Linked DNA regions of Mus musculus. The protein of the gene in region 3 purifies or fractionates together with the protein of the main gene of each other region. This does not show direct contact. Links are inferred from orthologs where the notes say so. Each region holds a gene or a part of one and is shown on either strand. Other genes may lie near its edges.

Region 1 (7,024 bases), on a different chromosome or scaffold from region 3:
GCCTATAAGGCTGAGCATGGTAGAGAAGGTGTGTAACTCCAGCTCCATGGATGGTTGAGGCAGTACGATACCAGGTTAACGGGCTACCTTTTCTCCAGACTGATCTCGGGGTCAGCATGAACAACTTAGTAAGATTCTGTCACAAACTGAAAGTCAAAGCTGGCTGCTATAGGTCAAGTGGTAGGCACTTGCACAGCATGTACAAGGCCCTAGGTTTAATCGCTGATATGAAGTTAGTGAGGGGACAAGCCGCTAACAGAGTCACAAGCCACTCACCACAACATTACTTCAAGTCAATACTGGAATATTATAGATATGAGCATCTTACGAAATCTATCATAAGACAAGACTTCTTGTGGGGAAAGTTGGGGAAGGCCACACACACTCTTATAGGTAGCAGGTCTGTGTGTCGATTGTGAGTTCTTCTGATACAGATTGCAAATTTAATCTGCACAAACCTGAAGGTTATACTGTATGTATCTTCTAGTGGTTTGTTTATCTATCTACCTATTTATTTACTGTCCATTTTATTCATGGATTTATATTTTTGTGGTACTTAGGATTGAACAAGAGCCTTTAACATGCTAGGTAAGCACTCCCCATTAGACTTCATCCTCTCCCCGTCTTGTCGGTTTTAGCAAGTGAGTCTGATGTAGTTAATCTATCCTTTTATACCTGAGTTATCATACTACATTTTTGTAAGTCAATCTATTGCTTTAGTATATTCTAACTGAAATATATTTATTGAGTTGCTTTAAATGGCTCTAAAATTTGTATCTAAATATTTTTTGCGATATATTGCTGTATTTAATATGATGTAGATACAGTAAAACCCAATATGATCTATTTTACTTAATTAAAAATTTTATTTATTTTTTTTAATTCGTGTGTGCGCGCTCCTGTGCGCATGTGTGCATGCGTGCGCGTGTCTGTGGAGAGCATCAAACCTCCTGGAGCTGGAGTTACAGATGGCGTTGAGTTCCTAGCTGGGCGCTGAACCTGGGTCCTCTGCAAGAGCAACAAGTGACCTGAGCCATTTCTCCGGCTTCAATTTAGATATTCTTAAGCAGGATGCTATTTTACTTAGTTAAGTCTATTTTTATAACTGACCCCTGGTTTTATTTCTTTTATATACTGAAAATTTTTCTTCAAAAATTTTAATTTGGGGGCTAAGATGTAGCTCAGAGGCGAGCACTTATCTAGCATGTACACACCCTTGCTTCAATTCTCAGAACAGGGGTGTGTGGTGGGGGAGGCAAAAATAATTTAGAAAAATGAAAAAAGCAAATGCAACAACCATTTATTAAACCAAACCAAAAACCAAAACCAAACCAAAGCCACCATATATTAACGTATGCTAAATCATTTGGTATTGCTAGTTAAGATAAACTGGTATTTCTTTCTTTTCACTTAAGTATCATGTTTCTTTCCAGAGTGAAAAGCTTTTGTTATATGATACAGTCCAGAGTGAGCTTGAGGAGAAGATAAGAAGGCTTGAGGAGGACAGGCACAGCATCGACATTACCTCAGGTCAGGGCTGCCGTGTGATGTGGTGTCCCCAAAAGCCTCAGTCTTCTCCAGTGGATGCTATGCAAATGCAGTGTCCTAGCTGGAGGGAGCAGGGGGGACTTCGGAAGAGCGAGATGAAGTAGAGGTTGTTCCTTGGATTCAGAGGCACACTCTAGAAAAGGGACAGACCAGCAGTGTGACAGGAGCTAGCCACGGGACTTGCTGGAAGACAGCTTCCTGTGTTCTTCCAGGCGAGTGGGTAAATGTTTCAGGGCGGTAGGTGTTTGCCTTGGAGAAAGGAAACCCTGCTGTGATGATTAGACCCAGTCAGTGTGAAGTGTGGCCATTTCAGGATGACTTAGGGAAGTTTTCTGTTGGGCACTGGCAGTTTTACTAGATTGGCCCACAGTTCTTGAGTAGGTATTACTGGTTTTGTCTTGATTTTGCTTCTTTGCTATAGTTGGGGCAGATGTGGTGAGATCAGTGTGGGTGCTTTGCTCATGAGTTAGGTGTCTGTGGACAGTTGACTAGTCTTTCTAAGTGGGTGTCCTTGTATGGAAAACTGAGGTAAAAAGCATAGCTACACCTACCTCAGGGCAGCCACTAGAGAGACGGCTCAGAGGGGAGGCGCTTGCCTCCAGGGCGGGCAACCTGAATTTGATCCCCAGCACCCATGCGGTGCAAGGAGAGACCACACCCTCCTAAGCTGCCCTCTGACCTCCATGTGTAAGTTGTGGTGTGCAAGCGTGCAGGCAACACACGCTATGTATAAGTAAATACGTGTAAAAAAATGAAAAGGAACCACCTCTGAGTGCAGTTCCCTGGAGATTTGTATGTAAAGAAGCAGTAAATGTGAAAGTCTGCGCTGCCCGTTCTTCCTGTGGCCGCTGGAAAGGAGCTCACGCGCTGATTCCCTTGCAGAGCTGTGGAACGACGAGCTTCAGTCACGGAAAAAGAGGAAGGATCCGTTCAGCCCCGACAAGAAGAAGCCGGTCGTTGTCTCAGATATCCTTTCCGCACTCTGGGTTTCCACACTGTGGAAACCATTTCGGCACGGGGTGGAGGGGACACGGCGGCTCATGGTGCACTGTGGTCAGTTTGTACAGGCGCTTTTGAGGCAAGGTCTTGTATGTAGCCCAGGCTGGCCTTGAACCCATACTCTTCCTGCATCAGTTCACTGGGTCTGTGATGTTCTTGCTGCAAGTTGACCTTGACGCCTCAACGTCCATATATAGTTTATATGCTGCAGGATCTCGACATTCTTGAGGACTGGACGACAATTAGGAAGGTATGGTTGGCGAATGGTGCGGCAGAAGTGCATTTTTAAAAAAATTTTTTTTATTAGATATTTTCTTCATTTACATTTCAAATGCTATCCCAAAAGTCCCCTATACCCTCCTCCCACCCTGCTCCCCTACACACCCACTCCCACTCTTGGCCCTGACATTCCCCTGTACTGGGGGCATATAAAGTTTGCAAGACCAAGGGGCCTCTCTTCCCAATGATGGCCGACTAGGCCATCTTCTGCTACATATGCAGCTAGAGACATGAGCTCTAGGGGGTACTGGTTAGTTCATATTGTTGTTCCTCCTATAGGGTTGCCCTTCAGCTCCTTGGGTATTTTCTCTAGCTCCTCCACTGGGGGCCCTGTGTTTCATCCTATAAATGACTATGAGCATCCACTTCTGTATTTGCCAGGCACTGTCATAGCCTCACACGAGACAGCTATATTAAGTTCTTTCAGCAAAATCTTGCTGGCATATGCAATAGTGTCTGGCTTTGGTGGCTGATTATGGGATGGATCCCCCGTTGGGGTAGTCTCTGGATAGTCCATCCTTTCGTCTTAGCTCCAAACTTTGTCTCTGTAACTCCTTCCATGGGTATTTTATTCCCTATTCTAGGGAGGAATGAAGTATCCACACGCAGAAGTACATTTTTATACTCTGCCTTTTAAGAGTATATCAATATATGAAAATGAAATTGTTGGAAATATGCTTTGCTTAACATGGGCTGTAGAATATTGTAAGAATTAGAGACATGTCAGTAATTTGTATTTTTTCCTGTAATAGTGTATCAATTTATACAAGAGTATGGAATAGCGTATGTTTAGTTTGCCTAGAGTGTTAGGGTTCAGAGCTTTTCTGTTTCTGGTGTATAGAAGGCACCTAGTAAACATTTTTTGAATGAATGCATTGAACCTATGTGCTTTATATTATATTAATAACTATTGAGGTGTGACTCTTTGATGCTTGTTTAAGAATGGAGCTGTGTATCTTGTCATCTTTTTACTTTTTATTTATTTCTATTACCATTTTTATTTTTTATTTCACTCAGACTGCCCTAGAAGTCACTTGGTAGCCCCTGTTGTCTTTGAACTTGAAAGCCTCCTTTCTTGGCCTTCTTGGGAATTGGGTTACAAGGTTTGAGGCTTGCTTTCCTATTAAAAATTCTCATTTTGGGGCTGGAGAGATGGCTCAGTGGTTAAGAGCACTCACTGCTTTCCAGAGGTCCTGAGTTCAATTCCCAGCAACCACATGGTGGCTCACAACCAACTGTAATGGGATCCGATGCCCTCTTCTGGTGTGTCTGAGGGGAGTGGCAGTATATTCACATACATAAAATAAATATCTTTAAAATATAAAAAAATTGCCATTTTTATAAATTGTCCAGGGAACATATTTCAGCTATTAATAGTGGCTATGGAAGGAGGTGTTGTTTATGACTTTAGGTACCGTTAGCCTGGAGGTTGGGGTGACTCATTCTGGCGTGCTTGCCTGACTTGCTTGCCTAGCATGTGTGACGCCTTGTGCTCTTCCCCTATCACCAGGAGAAAACGAGAACAGCCAATGTTTATATTTTATTCTGTTAGCAAACTAATTGAGGACACTGTGTGTATTATAAATCACAAAATCTGTTTTCAGTCTGAATCCAGATTTCTTTCTCCCCTTCCCCCATCTTTTTTCTTAGGCAATGGCTACACTGGGTCCACACCGAGTTAAAACAGAACGTAAGTTATGAGTTGTGACATGTTCTGTGGAGAACTGTTCAGTCAGGGTGGTAAAATTCCCTGCATATTGAAGAGGAACCCGGTAGTGGTTCCGGTGGCCAGCGACCTCTGTAACTGACATGAGGAGTCAGGAGTCTCCTGCTTCCAGTGCTGACTGTGTCTTCTTTCTGTCTTTGTTGTTGTTGGTTTGGTTGGTTGTTTTTTTTTTTCGAGACCGGATTTCTCTATGTAGTCCTGGCTGTCCTGGAACTCACTCTGTAGACCAGGCTGGCCTCGAACTCAGAAATCCTCCTGCCTCTGCCTCCCAAGTGCTGGGATTAAAGGCGTGTACCACCACTGCCCCACATATTTTATTTCGAAATAGATCTTTTCTAAAATTATGACCTGTTTGCTGTTGACTCCTGAGTGCTAAGATGATATATGTCTTTTTTAACCTTTTTATTTTTTTATAACTCTAAGACAACTGCCCAAGTTGTAATGAACATTGGTATCTATGGGTTTTTGTTGTTGTTGTTTATAGATTTTTTTTTGTAATTCTTTAGTAGATTATAATGGGATTATAATGGGGTTAGATTAAAAATATCTTTTAAATATTAAGGAAGAGAATTTCTTATTCCATTTCAAATGTTTTTTGTTTGTTTGTTGTTTGTTTTTTGTTGTTGTTTTTTGTTTTTTGGGGTTTTTTTTTTTTTTTTCCGAGACAGGGTTTCTCAGTGTAGCCCAGGCTGTCCTGGAACTCATTCTGTAGACCAGGCTGGCCTCGAACTCAGAAATCCGCCTGCCTCTGCCTCTGAGTGCTGGGATTAAAGGCGTGTGCCACCACGCCCGGCTTCAAAAGTATATTTAAGAGATATTTATCTTTAAGAATGTTCTAATTATTTTTTCCTCTCTCAATGGTTCCTTTAAACTTTATTTCACATTAGGAAATTACACCTATATACTGCCCTTGACTGGAGAGTCAGATGCCTAAGTCTCTAGAATGTTTTGAGTCATTAATTTGGGGGGAGGGGTGTGTGTGTGTGTGTGTGTGTGTGTGTGTGTGTGTGTGTATACATGTGGTTATGTGTGTGGGTGCATGAGTGTGTTTGTGGTGCTAGAGATTTGTCCTTGATGGCTTTCTACCTTACTTATGGACACAAGTTTCCTTCTTGAGTAGAGTGTTGATTCTGGTAAGTCTGGCTCCTGTGAATGGCCTGGGGAGCCCTAGTTTCTGCTCCCTGTGCTGGGATTACAGGCTGCTGCTATGCCTGCCTGGCTTTTATGTGGCTTCTGCTCCTCAGACTATTGATTAACCGCCATTGGTTAGAGTTCCACCACCCAGCGGAATGGCTCTGGTTTCCCGCCCGTGTTTACCTTAACTTTGTACTGCGTTTCTTTATGATACTCACCGCCATTTGTACATTTTACTTTATTTTTAGTGATGATAAATTCCACAATTCTTTTTAAAGAATAAAGTATTGTGCTTGTGCATATGGTGGTTTTTTGGGAGGAGAGAGAGAGAAAGAGAGAGAGAGAATGAGAGATAGATAGATAGATAGATAGATAGATAGATAGATAGATAGATAGATAGATCGATCGATCACATGCATGCCATGGCGCACATGTGAAGAGCAGAAGATAGCTTTGAGAGATGGTTCTTCCCTTTCACTTGGGGTTTGACATCAGACTCAGGTTACGAGGCTTGTATGGCATGCGTGTTTACCTGCTGAGCCGTCTCACTGGCTCTTGGCACTTTTAAACTAACTCTCTACTTGTTTGACTGCCTCCTGACTGGATTATAAGCTTTCTGGAGGCTGGCTTCTGTCTCTTTTCTTAGTCTTCCCTCAGCACCCAGCACAGCTCCTTGTGCATAGGATGGACTCAGACATGGAATGAATGAATGAATGAATGAATGAATGGCTGTAAAACAAGCACACCTGTACGTATCACTACTTCCTATCTACTAGAGACGTTTTTAGGGTCTTGGAGAATTAGTGGGGAAGGAGATAAACTGAGAGCCTCCTTTCAGGAGGTGGAGTCCTATGTTTGAGACTCAGTGAGTTAGTATCAGATGGTAACGAGGATTATGGAGTCCTTGGCAAGTTGTGTTGGTGATTTCCTAAGAAGGGACAGTATGAATGGTGAAGGTGCTGCTGGTGTGTGGTGTGATTGTGACAGTCACATGGATGTGTTTCCATAAGGAACATGTTTTCCCTGCAGTAGTTTACCTACTCATGCCAAACCATTCTGAGAGTCGGAAATGCTGTTCTACTGTGGATAGTTAAAGTTCTGGAGACTTCTCATTAAACATTATATTCTGCTTTTTTCCAAGTATGAGATGCCTTATACGGGAGATTTGAAATTACTTTTGGAATATAACAATTTGAAATTTTCAGGGCTGTTTAAAAATGGTGCTGGTATTCAGTCACCCATGCGCTTGCCTACCCTTGTGGCCCTGCTTCTCTATCAGTCACCCATGTGCCTGCCTACCCTTGTGGCCCTGCTTCTCTATCAATCAGTCACCTATGC
Region 2 (3,500 bases), on a different chromosome or scaffold from region 3:
AACGTCCTTCCCCACCTGGCCATGCGTTTTCATGTGCCTGGTGAGCTTGCTACTCTGGGCACAGGCATAGTTGCACAGCTCGCATTTATAAGGCCTTTCGCCCGTGTGGCTTCTCCTGTGGACAGTGAGATTGCTACAGTTCTTGAAGACTTTCCCACAGTACTCACAAGTGTCGCTGCGTCTGCCCTCTTTTGAGCTGGGCCTGCCCGGGCCCGGACCACTAATATGGGGCGTGCTCCCTCCACTTCCTGTGCCGCTGCGCCCTGAGATCCCTCCGTCCAGCTCCCCGGGCGGTGTGGAGAAGCGCAAGCTCCCGTTCTCCGAGGAGTGCTCTGATGAGGAGGCAAAAGGCGATTGTCTGGAGTCTCCGAAAGTAAGGAAGGGATCTTTGAGCTGCCTGGAGGCCGCATAGCCAGCGAGCCACTGCGAATACACGTTCTCCGTGTTAGGCATCGCGGCCGGGGGCAGGTCAAACTCCTTCTCCAGCTTGATGCGCTTGGAGAAGGGGCTCAGCGAGCTGGGGCTACCCAGCAGCAGCTTTTTGGACAGACCCCCCGAAGCCGATTCGCCGGGGGAGCAGCCACGACCATTAACAGTGCCATCGTCTATGCGGTCTGACTCACCGGCCACCGAGTCTTCATCACAAGTGTCCCTATGGCCCTCGGCCTCGGCCAGGTGGCTACGCTTATGCTTTTCGCCCAGGACCTGGTGGAAGGCCTCGCTGAAGTGCTGCATGGAGCTGAGCACCATGCCCTGCATGACATCGGGCAGGGCGCGGCCCTCGTCGCCCACGCCCACCACTGCGCCCCGAGAGCTGTTCTCATGGTGGCGTGCAGCCTCCAGGCTCAGCCCGAAGCCGTAGTCCACCCTCTCGCTCTCCGTCAGCTCCTCCTCCTCCTCTTCCTCCTCTTCTTCTTCTTCCTCGTCGTCCTCCTCTTCCTCCTCATCCCCGTTCTCTGGGATCAAGTTGGGGTCGTTCTCACTCTTGAACTTGGCCACCACTGACTTGAGCGCACTGCTGGCGCTGCCCACCAGGTCGCTGGTACCAGGTTCCGGGGAGCTGGCTGTGGAGAGGCCATCGTCGGACTTGACTGTCATGGGGGACGATTTGTGCATGTGTGTCTTCATGTGACGCTTCAGCTTGCTGGCCTGTGTGCACGCGTGGTCGCACAGGTTGCACTTATAGGGCTTCTCACCAGTATGGCTGCGTCGGTGAACCACCAAGTTGCTCTGAAATTTGAACGTCTTGCCGCAGAACTCGCATGACTTGGACTTGACCGGGGGTTGGGAGGGAGGAGGGGCGGATTGCAGAGGAGGGAGGGGGGGCGTCGCCAGGAAGGGTGGCTTGCTACCTGGCTGGAATGGTTGCAGTAACCTTTGCATAGGACTGGGCCGGCCTGGGGACAGCGGTGGACTAGACGTGTTCCCTGCCAGCTCTCTAAGTCTCCTAGAGAAATCCATGGCGGGAGGCTCCATAGCCATTGGATTCAACCGCAGCACCCTGTCAAAGGCACTCGGGTGATGGGTGGCCAGGGCCATCTCTTCCGCCCCCAGGCGCTCTATGCGGTGGGGGTCCAAGTGATGTCTCGGTGGTGGACTAAACAGGGGGGGAGTGGGTGGAAAGCGCCCTTCTGCCAGGCCGGAAGCCTCTCTCGATACTGATCCTGGTATTCTTAGCAGGTTAAAGGGGTTATTGTCTGCAATATGAATCCCATGGAGAGGTGGCTGGGAAGGACATTCTGCACCTAGTCCTGAAGGGATACCAACCCGCGGGGTCAGGGGACTTCCGTGTTCACTTTCTAAGTAGATTCTTAATCCATGAGTGTTCTGTGCGTGTTGCAAGAGAAACCATGCACTGGTGAATGGCTGTTTGCAAGTTGTACATGTGTAGCTGCTGGGCTCATCTTTACCTGCAAAACAATACAACACCAACATCAATGCTTAATCATTGAGGCAGGCATCAGCAATTGCTTATTCATGTTCCAACAACCAGCCTCTCCTGGCCCCATCTCGTAAGCCTCAGCCTTCACCCACCTACCCTGGTGCCTACGTGCTGTTTTCCATGTCTGGAGCCCAATAAATATTTGTCAAATTAGTAGTCTTGGTGACATTTTACTCAGTTCCAAGAGTTCCATATTCAAGCCCCATAGCACAAAGTCCTAACTGGTCCAGGCTCAGTTAAAAGGAACACTCCATTCTAGGGGTCTCAGCAAGTCATTTCAGCTCTGTGCCACTGTCTCATTGGTTAAATGGGGTACTGAGACAAGGCCAAAGCCAGAGTCAGTTTGATGTCTCGCAGGAAAACGTTTGCACCCTGACTCCTCTGGTCCTAGTCCATTTTCCTGTGGGTCGCAGGAGAGCTTAACTTTCTAACAAGGCAATATTACTGCATAGAGATATCAAAAAGAAGGTCAAAAATCAATATAATTCTCTGACCCTACATGGTTCAACTGGAAACACACTAATTGTTGGTCTGTCTTGGGTTCCTTAACATCCTATAATTCCATGTTTAATCTCAAGGGGGTGTTGTGATTAAAATCTCAAAAGAAAAATGTAATTCTGATTTAACTGAAAAGCTGTATTGAATCCTTAGGCATTCTCCCCAGTTCAACAAAAGAGAGAGTAGAGAAGTTAGGAGTGGCTGGTGCCAACTTCAGCAGACCCAGCATGCTGGTTGTAGGAGCAGTGGCGGCAGCCAGCACCATGACAGGCGGCAGGCTGAGCAATGCTACCCTAGCCGCAGCCTCATTATTTTGAGAGGCTAACAACGTGAACCAAATTATACAACATCCTGCGCCCTCGGCTGAGACTAGGCTCCAGTTGAGAAAGAAACAGAAAGATACAGTTCAGCTAGTCAACTCTTTGGCCAGTGGCCAAGCTGTCTGGAGAGGGGCCCTGCTCAAGTCACATTGTTTCTCTCTTACTGAAAAGAACCCAAGAGTGGTAAATGCCACTTTGGCAAAGAGGTGGCCGGCTTGACTTCACAAAATTCATTCATTTTTTTTCTGATAGCTAAATTTAAATATATATTCCCATATATGTACGTAGCTATATATATGTATGTTAAGGAACCCAACACACACATATATGGGGTTTATGGAGTAACCAACAGTTTACCAGCCAACTGCAACATTTAAGGATGTAGAAGAGACAATGGCCTAGGGACAAGGATGAGTCTAGCTAATGTCCCAGACACTTTAAAAAAATGCCAGGGCTTAAAGTATAACTGAGAAATACACTTTCTCCCCTATGTGAGGCTAGAACAGTCCCTTAACCCATAGCTAGCATTCCTAAGTAACTTTTTCAATGGAACAAAATTCACCAGGGAGCTAAGGAGTGGGCACAAGGAATTCATCAATTATATGATTCCTCCATTTAGCAAGTCAGAAAGAAAAGCTGCCAAGGTCTTCTCAGGAGCCCCAAACATTCATATTCCAAAGCAAGCCAGCCTCGCTCAAGCGCTTGTCTAAATAATGGACTCCTGCCCTGACCTTGTAATT
Region 3 (7,124 bases):
TCCACTAGGACTTAACCTACAGAGGAAAAACAAGGAAATAACCACAGAAAAAGCGCCAAGGAAGACCAAGAGCACGGCTAAGAGCCTGGGGAGACAGGCAAAACAAAACCGAACAGTTAAGCAACTCAAAACAGAAGACTGGTGTTAGATTTTTATGGGGGGAAAAAAACACACAAAAATAGATTAGTACCAATGTATTCAATTTAACAAAAACAGTAAAAAAAAACAGTTCCAGCAGGAAGTGGTGATGGACACTTGTAATTGCAGCATCTGGGGGACAATGAATTCAGGAATTCAAGGCTAACCTTGGCTACAAAGTAAGTTTGTGGACAACCTATCCTAAAAAAGAGGCCAAAAAAAAAAAAAAAACAAATTCCAAAGTTAATGAAACATGGTTTCTATGAACCTTTCAGATTAAGTGTACAATAGCATGTGAATAATCTCAAAATTCCTGAAATGTCTGTCCCTCCAAGCTTTCTTCTCAACGTCTTGAAGGTAAACTAAAGAGTATAAAGAATTTAGTTGGGCAGTGGTGGCGCACGCCTTTAATCCCAGCACATTGGGAGGCAGAGGCAGGCAAATTTCTGAGTTCGAGGCCAGCCTGGTCTACAGAGTGAGTTCCAGGACAGCCAGGGCTACATAGAGAAGCCCTGTCTTGGAACAGCCCCCCCCCCCCCAAATAAAAGAATTTAGTTAGCTGGGAAACTCAGGTGAAGCACATTTGCCTACCATGTGCAAGGCCCTGGATTAGATATCCAGGACTGACTAACACACACACACACACACACACACACACACACACACACACACTCGTCCTCTACTCGACCCCCCCCCCACCTCTGTGTGTACACAGTTTAAACTAAATTCATATTGTCTGGGAAGAGTTACTTGTTTTTTGTGACAAGGTTCCTAGGCATTCCAGGCTGGCTTTTGAACAAAGATCCTCCTACCTACCTACCTCCAGTTTCCACGGACTGGGATTACACACCAGGTTCGCTCAGTCCTTTAAACGTTTATTTTAGAAATCATAACTACTCATCAAAATGAGCAAATTATATTACTGACAGGAAATCACCTCTCAAGTCTTCTCTGAGTACACATAGTTCCTGCTGAAGCAGAGCTGTAGGACACAATTATTCTAGAACAAGGTGGACAAGCTCCAGTCCTTTAAATCTCGCCCACCAAGGGGCTTTTGCATGGCCCTGAAGCAAAGCATGATTTTTTTCATTTCCAAGTGATTGAAAAAAAAAACACAGAGAGAGAATATTTTGTGACCTGTGAAAAGTACACAGAGTTCAGATTTCAGTGTCTATAGTTTTGCTGGAAGATGGCCAGGCTTATCCATATTTTCTATGGCTGTTGTGTTACAACACCGAAGGCTGCCTGACCCCTGTCAAAAAAAAAAAGTTTGACCACCAGTGTTCTAGAACTCGGAGGACCCATGCTACTCCACTCTTCTAACCGCCCCCCTCCCGCCTCCAGCCACCTCTTCAGCGTTAGTCACCAGCAAGATTCTTGGAGCTGACATGGAGGGAGGGCGTTATAATAATGAATTGTACCACATGGGAAAACAAGAGACCCAAGACAGTAAATTTCTATATAAGGGAACGTGACTGTTTCTGTCACATACTAGAGTAACGTCTGAGTTGGTTTCTCGATCAGAAAAGAGAGCATCCTCGAGGCCTCTGCATGGTTGCGTTTAAGCATGAAGGCACTTGGAAAGCTATCAAGGGAACAAATGTTCCGGGGGTGTTTCTGCAAGGAGAGCCTCTGAGTTTAGATGTAGACTGTGGTTCCCTTTAAGCGTAGGCGCCTGGGCCCCTCTGCTCTGGCCCTCTTTTTCTCCCTGGGATCATGTGGCTTTCTCTTCACCCCCCCCCCCAAGGCTAAAAAGCTTCAGAGAAATGCAGAGCTCAGGTATGCAGGCCTAGATTAGCCCAGCCCAGCTCTCTCCAGTTCAGCAGCCAGCTGCAGGGTCAAAATGGGACCCCTTCAGGTGACAAGAATGACTCAGCAGGGGCCTAGGCAGGAACTGAGATAGGGAAGCAGTGGCAGGCACAAAATCCCCTGCAGCAGCAGGAAGCTAAAGAACCAGTAGGTTAAGGACGCACAAAGGTGAACATACAAAAAGTCATTTAAGTCAACTTTCGACGAGGGGCGGATTGAAGGCCTGCGCCATCGCAGGCCTTAAATAAAGGTCTGCCCAGCTTCTGGGAGAAAAAAGAAAAACCCGCCCAAGGTCTCTCCTAAAGGTCCCTTTCGCTTATGACAAATGTCACCAGAGCTCGACTGGGCCCTCGATACAGTTGAATGGGGGAGCCTTTGAGGGGTGCAGAAAACTGCGTGGCCGTGATTATCTGGGAGACTTTGCGGGCAGTGTAATCTCTCGAGACCAGGAAACCATTTTCCTCACTGGCTCTGAGATTTTGCTTTGCTAAGGCGGCTGCAGCTTCCCTGCCCCCCTCGCACACCCCCGCCGCCGCCGCCGCCGCCGCGGCTGCTGCTTTAAGCAACCACGCCCCGCGGGCCCCAGGCTTCTTGGCCCTGGGGCTCGCAGCCCCCGCGCAGCCTGCACACCGCGCTCGCATCCGCCCCACCCCCGCGCGGGCCCAGCCGCCCCCGCGGCCAGCCTGGGGAGTGACGCCTCGCGCCTGCGCCTCGCCGACTTCCTGCCGCGGAACGCCCCACCCACTCTCGAGAAGCCCACCCCCGGAGAGCGCGTCAGACCCTCCCGTCGCACGCTATTGGTCCAAGCCGCCGAGCCGTTGGCTCCCAGGCCCGCCTCTTCTCCGCCTCTCCAATTTCCCAGGGCGGCTGCGCCTGCGCTCAGCTGCCTGGGCGGGCTGAGAGGCGCGGGTTGAAAAGTCTCGTTCCAAGTTTGGCGAGAGGGAGAGAGAGGAGAGCGGCTCAGACCTCGCTACCCGCCAGCGGGGAGGAGGCAGAAGAGGAGATCGCGGCGTCTGGGGGGAGAACCCAGACGGCCAGACCGAACTCAGGCTTTTCCGAGCGAGGACTGCGTGACGTGCCTGGGAGAGGCAAGGAGCGCCTGCCGGGCTGCTCTTGACTAGCGAGAGAGAAGTCCGAGGCGGCCAAGGGGGGCGAAACGACCCGACGCAAGATGGCGAGTAAAGAGAGTAAGGATGCCTGCCCTGTGGGGCGGGCGGGCGTGCGGGCGCCGGGACTCCGGGGGGCTGGCGGGCTCCCGAGGCCTCGGCACGCGCTGACGAAAGGCGCGAATTGGCGTGAGGAGCAGGGGGCGGGGCTGGGCGCGAGACTCGCCGCGCGCCTGCAAGGGGGCCTGCGCGACACGGGGCCTGGTCGCCGCCGAGGGCCGGGAGCATTTCCGGAGCCGGGCGCGGGGGCCGAGAGAGAGGCCCCCCTTCCCCCACCCCCACCCCCACCCCGCGGCCTAGCTCCCTCCGACGCCCTTGGCTCGGGGGCGCAGGCGCTCGCGGCCCGAGAAGTCAGCGGCGGGCGCGGATTCTTCCGTGCGCGTGGTCGTCGTCCGTCTGGGGTCGCGGCCCGTGTCCGTGTCGGGAGGGGGGGGAGGAGCTGGATCCCGCCGGACTATGGCTGCCGATCGTGGCTTGGTGGGGAGCTGGGGCCTCCTGCGAGGGTGGGGGGTGGAGGGAGCAGGCCTGTGGGCTGCTGCTGTTCCACGTGGATTGGATCTATTCGAGTGGGTCGGGGCACCGGTTTACAATGCGGATCATCGTAGAACAGGTGCGAGCGGCTATAAAAAGGCTGACGAGCTCGGTGGTAGGGCAATTAATGACCCAATTCGGGTAAGCGCCGGAATCCCGATCTTGGAAGTGGAGGCGAAAACGCTTCCTGATGTTGATCTTCTCACTTTGTGGGAGAGCAGTTCGTGTGAGCAGGATAGGTAAAAGGAAAGAATAGATAAGGTGTGGCCGTCTCGAGGTGACCTCCAGGATCCGTAGCCATGCCTTTGACTCCGAGCCTTCTCAGCCACTTAATTGTGGGCTTTCTCCAAATTTCAGTGTTTGAAGATACTGTGGAGGAGCGTGTCATCAACGAAGAGTATAAAATCTGGAAGAAGAATACACCGTTTCTGTATGACCTGGTTATGACCCATGCTCTTCAGTGGCCCAGTCTTACCGTTCAGTGGCTTCCTGAAGTGACTAAGTAAGGGTTTCTGCCAACTTCTATTTTGTGTAGATTTAAGTACCATGTTAAATTTCTAGGTATTGTTAATGTTATTTTACACACAGAACATAAATACCTAATTGGTTAGGCCGAGGGTGAGGCGGCAAGTGGTTGTTCAAAACTTAAGATGGTTTCTATCGTAGAGGTGTGTTGAGAGGAGAGAATATTGTGTAATACTGTGTATAGGAAACGATGACTATTTTGCCATTCCATGACCAACATCTCTGGACTCTAGATCAATACATTATTTTCAAACTTAATAGGAAAGATTACATACATAACAAATTAAAAGCTATTATGGCTTGATGCATTAAGTGATTTTCTTGAATATTTGTAAGATTTGGCATAATTACTGATATTTATGGAGCACTTAGAATAATAGAACCTGACACATCTGAAGAGTTTAAGCCTCATAACAGAACTACTGTTGCGATTCAGAGATTTACCAGTGAGGAAAGGGGATGAGAATTTTAAGCACGGTGCTCAAGCGCTCACTACTGGCGATCTCATAGCTTACAAACTAGGGCTCAACCAACCAAAACCGGTTGGCTCCAGAATCAAGGCACTTCCTTCACTAGACTACCTTTAGGTAGGCATGTACCTTTTTTTTGTAATTTTTTTAAAAGATTTATTTATTTTTATTATATGTAAGTACACTGTAGCTGTCTTCAAACACTCCAGAAGAGGGAATCAGATCTCATTACGGACGGTTGTGAGCCACCATGTGGTTGCTGGGATTTGAACTTCAGACCTTTGGAAGAGCAGTCGGGTGCTCTTACCAAGTGAGCCATCTCACCAGCCTGGCATGTACTTTTTCTATAGGAATATGGGCACATACCTTAAAAGTATATTGATTTTTTTTTTTTGTCTTTTTTTTGTATAGTGAGCCTATAATTAGGGTCAAATGAAACTAATATACAAGGAAGAATTTGTGACCAGTGGTAAAAAGAAGCTAGTTTTAAAATCACTTGAAAGGGCTAGGTTCCATATATGAATATTGACCTTCCAGATGTGGGCTTGCTGTCTCAAAATCTCATGTTTTTTATTTGCAGGTTTTTTTATGTTAAAATTCCATTTTAAAAATCTAAATGTCCAGTGAGAAGAGTCTTGAATTGCTACATAATGGGGGCTTATAGGCATTGATTTTAATTTTTTCAGCACTGGAGGTGGTTCAAACCCAGGGCCTCAGCATAGTAGGCATGTGCTCTGTGGCTAAGGTGTTTTGAACAGATTCTAAAATAGACTGAGGGTTGGCAAGGTGGCTTCGCATGGTAAGGCACTTGCTTCCAAGCCTAAGAACATGAATTCAGTCTCCAGAACTAGAAAGCATTGACTCCTGCAAGTTGTCTTTTGATCTACACATGTACACTGTTGTAGACATGCATATCCACACACAATAAATAAATAAGTAAATAGAATAAAAATAGAATGAGCTGGGTGTGATGGCACATGGGTATAATTCTAAGTTATAGGCCTGCCTGAGGTATACTCATAAGACCATGGATTTTTGTTTTTGTTTTTTTAAGATTTATTTATATGAGTACACTGTAGCTGTCTTTAGACACACACCAGAAGGCGGCATTAGATCCCATTACAGATGGTGTGAGCCACCATGTGGTTGCTGGGGGATTGAACTCAGGACCTTTGAAAGAGCAGCCAGTGCTCTTAACCACTGAGCCATCTCCAGCCCCAAGACCATATTCCCCCCCCCTCTTTTTTGAGACATTGTTTTTTCTGTAGCCTTGGCTGCCCTGGAAATAAACAAATACACATACACACACACAGACACCAGGTTGTCCACTAGCTCACAAAGATCCACCTGCCTCCCAAGTGCTAGTATTAAAGATGTACCCTACCACCACCTAGCAAGACTGTGTTTCTCAGGAAGACAAAAAAATCCAAAGGGCAAAGGAATAAGTTAAGTGGTTAAGAGCACTAGCTGCTCTTACAAAGTACTTGGGTTTCTGATTCCCAGCGCCCAGCTGGTATGTCAGCCTTCTGTAATCCAGGTCCTAAGAGATGATGCTCTTCTCTCACTTACACAGGCCTGAGGCAGAGAAAACACTGCTATACTTCAAATCTTGAAAAAAATTAAAGAATAACAACAAAAACATCAACCTATCTATTAACAAGGGTATTCAGGTTCTTTGGAATTTTGCTGCATTTGTCTTTTTGTTTTTCTGTTAATTAACAATTATGAACAGTTTGGTTTTTTTTTTTTTAACCTTTTTACTTAACTGAAGCATGATAGAGGCTTTTTTGAATTTTTTAAAAGACTTATTTTTATTTACATTTAAAAATTTTTTTTTGGTTTTTCCGAGACAGGGTTTCTCTGTATAGCCCTGGCTGTCCTGGAACTCACTATGTAGACCAGGCTGGCCTAGAACTCAAGAGATCCACCTGTCTCTGTCTCTGCTGGGATTAAAGGCGTGTGTCACCACTGCCTAGCTTTATTTACTTTATGCATATGAGTACACTGTTGCTGTCTTCAGACACACCAGAAGAGGGCATCTGATCCCAATACAGATGGCTGTGAGCCACCATGTGGTTGCTGGGAATTGAACACAGCAGTCAGTGATCTTAACCACTGAGCCATATCACCAGCCCAAGAGTGGGAACTTGGATGTCAGAGACTTAGGTTTTGCCAGTATTGCCTTTGCTTATTAGCTTTGTGTGCAGGTTGTACACTCTTGTCTTTTTTAGTTATTTCATTTACAGATACCTGAAGATGTTAGTAGTACTGTCTTACATGTGGGGAAATTACTAAATTATCTCCTGCGTGGTAAGTGTCTTGTGTGGAGTAAAAACACAGTTAAGTGATGACTTACTGATTCCTACTTGACCCTGATTTCAATCTCTACCTATCTACCTAAAACAAGGCTTTATTATGTATACAGTGTTGTTTGGATATATGCCTTTAGGCCAGAAGAGGGCATCAGATCACATTACAGATGGTT

The links.
Region 1: the proteins of Rbbp7 (region 3) and Brms1l purify together in Homo sapiens (affinity purification with mass spectrometry; 4 studies listed by BioGRID and IntAct, counting the BioPlex papers as one, with this or other methods). This does not show direct contact. The link is inferred for Mus musculus from reciprocal best matches to the Homo sapiens genes RBBP7 and BRMS1L.
Region 2: the proteins of Rbbp7 (region 3) and Bcl11a purify together in Homo sapiens (affinity purification with mass spectrometry; 4 studies listed by BioGRID and IntAct, counting the BioPlex papers as one, with this or other methods). This does not show direct contact. The link is inferred for Mus musculus from reciprocal best matches to the Homo sapiens genes RBBP7 and BCL11A.

Annotation. Positions count from the first base shown.
Region 1 is NC_000078.6:55,858,658-55,865,681, forward strand, and holds part of Brms1l (breast cancer metastasis-suppressor 1-like protein), read left to right. Parts: intron 1-1,433; coding exon 1,434-1,530; intron 1,531-2,430; coding exon 2,431-2,514; intron 2,515-2,732; coding exon 2,733-2,797; intron 2,798-4,476; coding exon 4,477-4,516; intron 4,517-7,024. UniProt on the Homo sapiens protein: Involved in the histone deacetylase (HDAC1)-dependent transcriptional repression activity. When overexpressed in lung cancer cell line that lacks p53/TP53 expression, inhibits cell growth.
Region 2 is NC_000077.6:24,161,556-24,165,055, reverse strand, and holds part of Bcl11a (B-cell lymphoma/leukemia 11A), read right to left. Parts: intron 1,911-3,500; coding exon 1-1,910. UniProt on the Homo sapiens protein: Transcription factor. Associated with the BAF SWI/SNF chromatin remodeling complex. Binds to the 5'-TGACCA-3' sequence motif in regulatory regions of target genes, including a distal promoter of the HBG1 hemoglobin subunit gamma-1 gene.
Region 3 is NC_000086.7:162,757,574-162,764,697, forward strand, and holds the start of Rbbp7 (histone-binding protein RBBP7), read left to right. Parts: upstream 1-2,798; 5' UTR 2,799-3,118; coding exon 3,119-3,134; intron 3,135-3,275; exon of another isoform or gene 3,276-3,590; intron 3,591-4,001; coding exon 4,002-4,146; intron 4,147-7,124. UniProt on the Homo sapiens protein: Core histone-binding subunit that may target chromatin remodeling factors, histone acetyltransferases and histone deacetylases to their histone substrates in a manner that is regulated by nucleosomal DNA.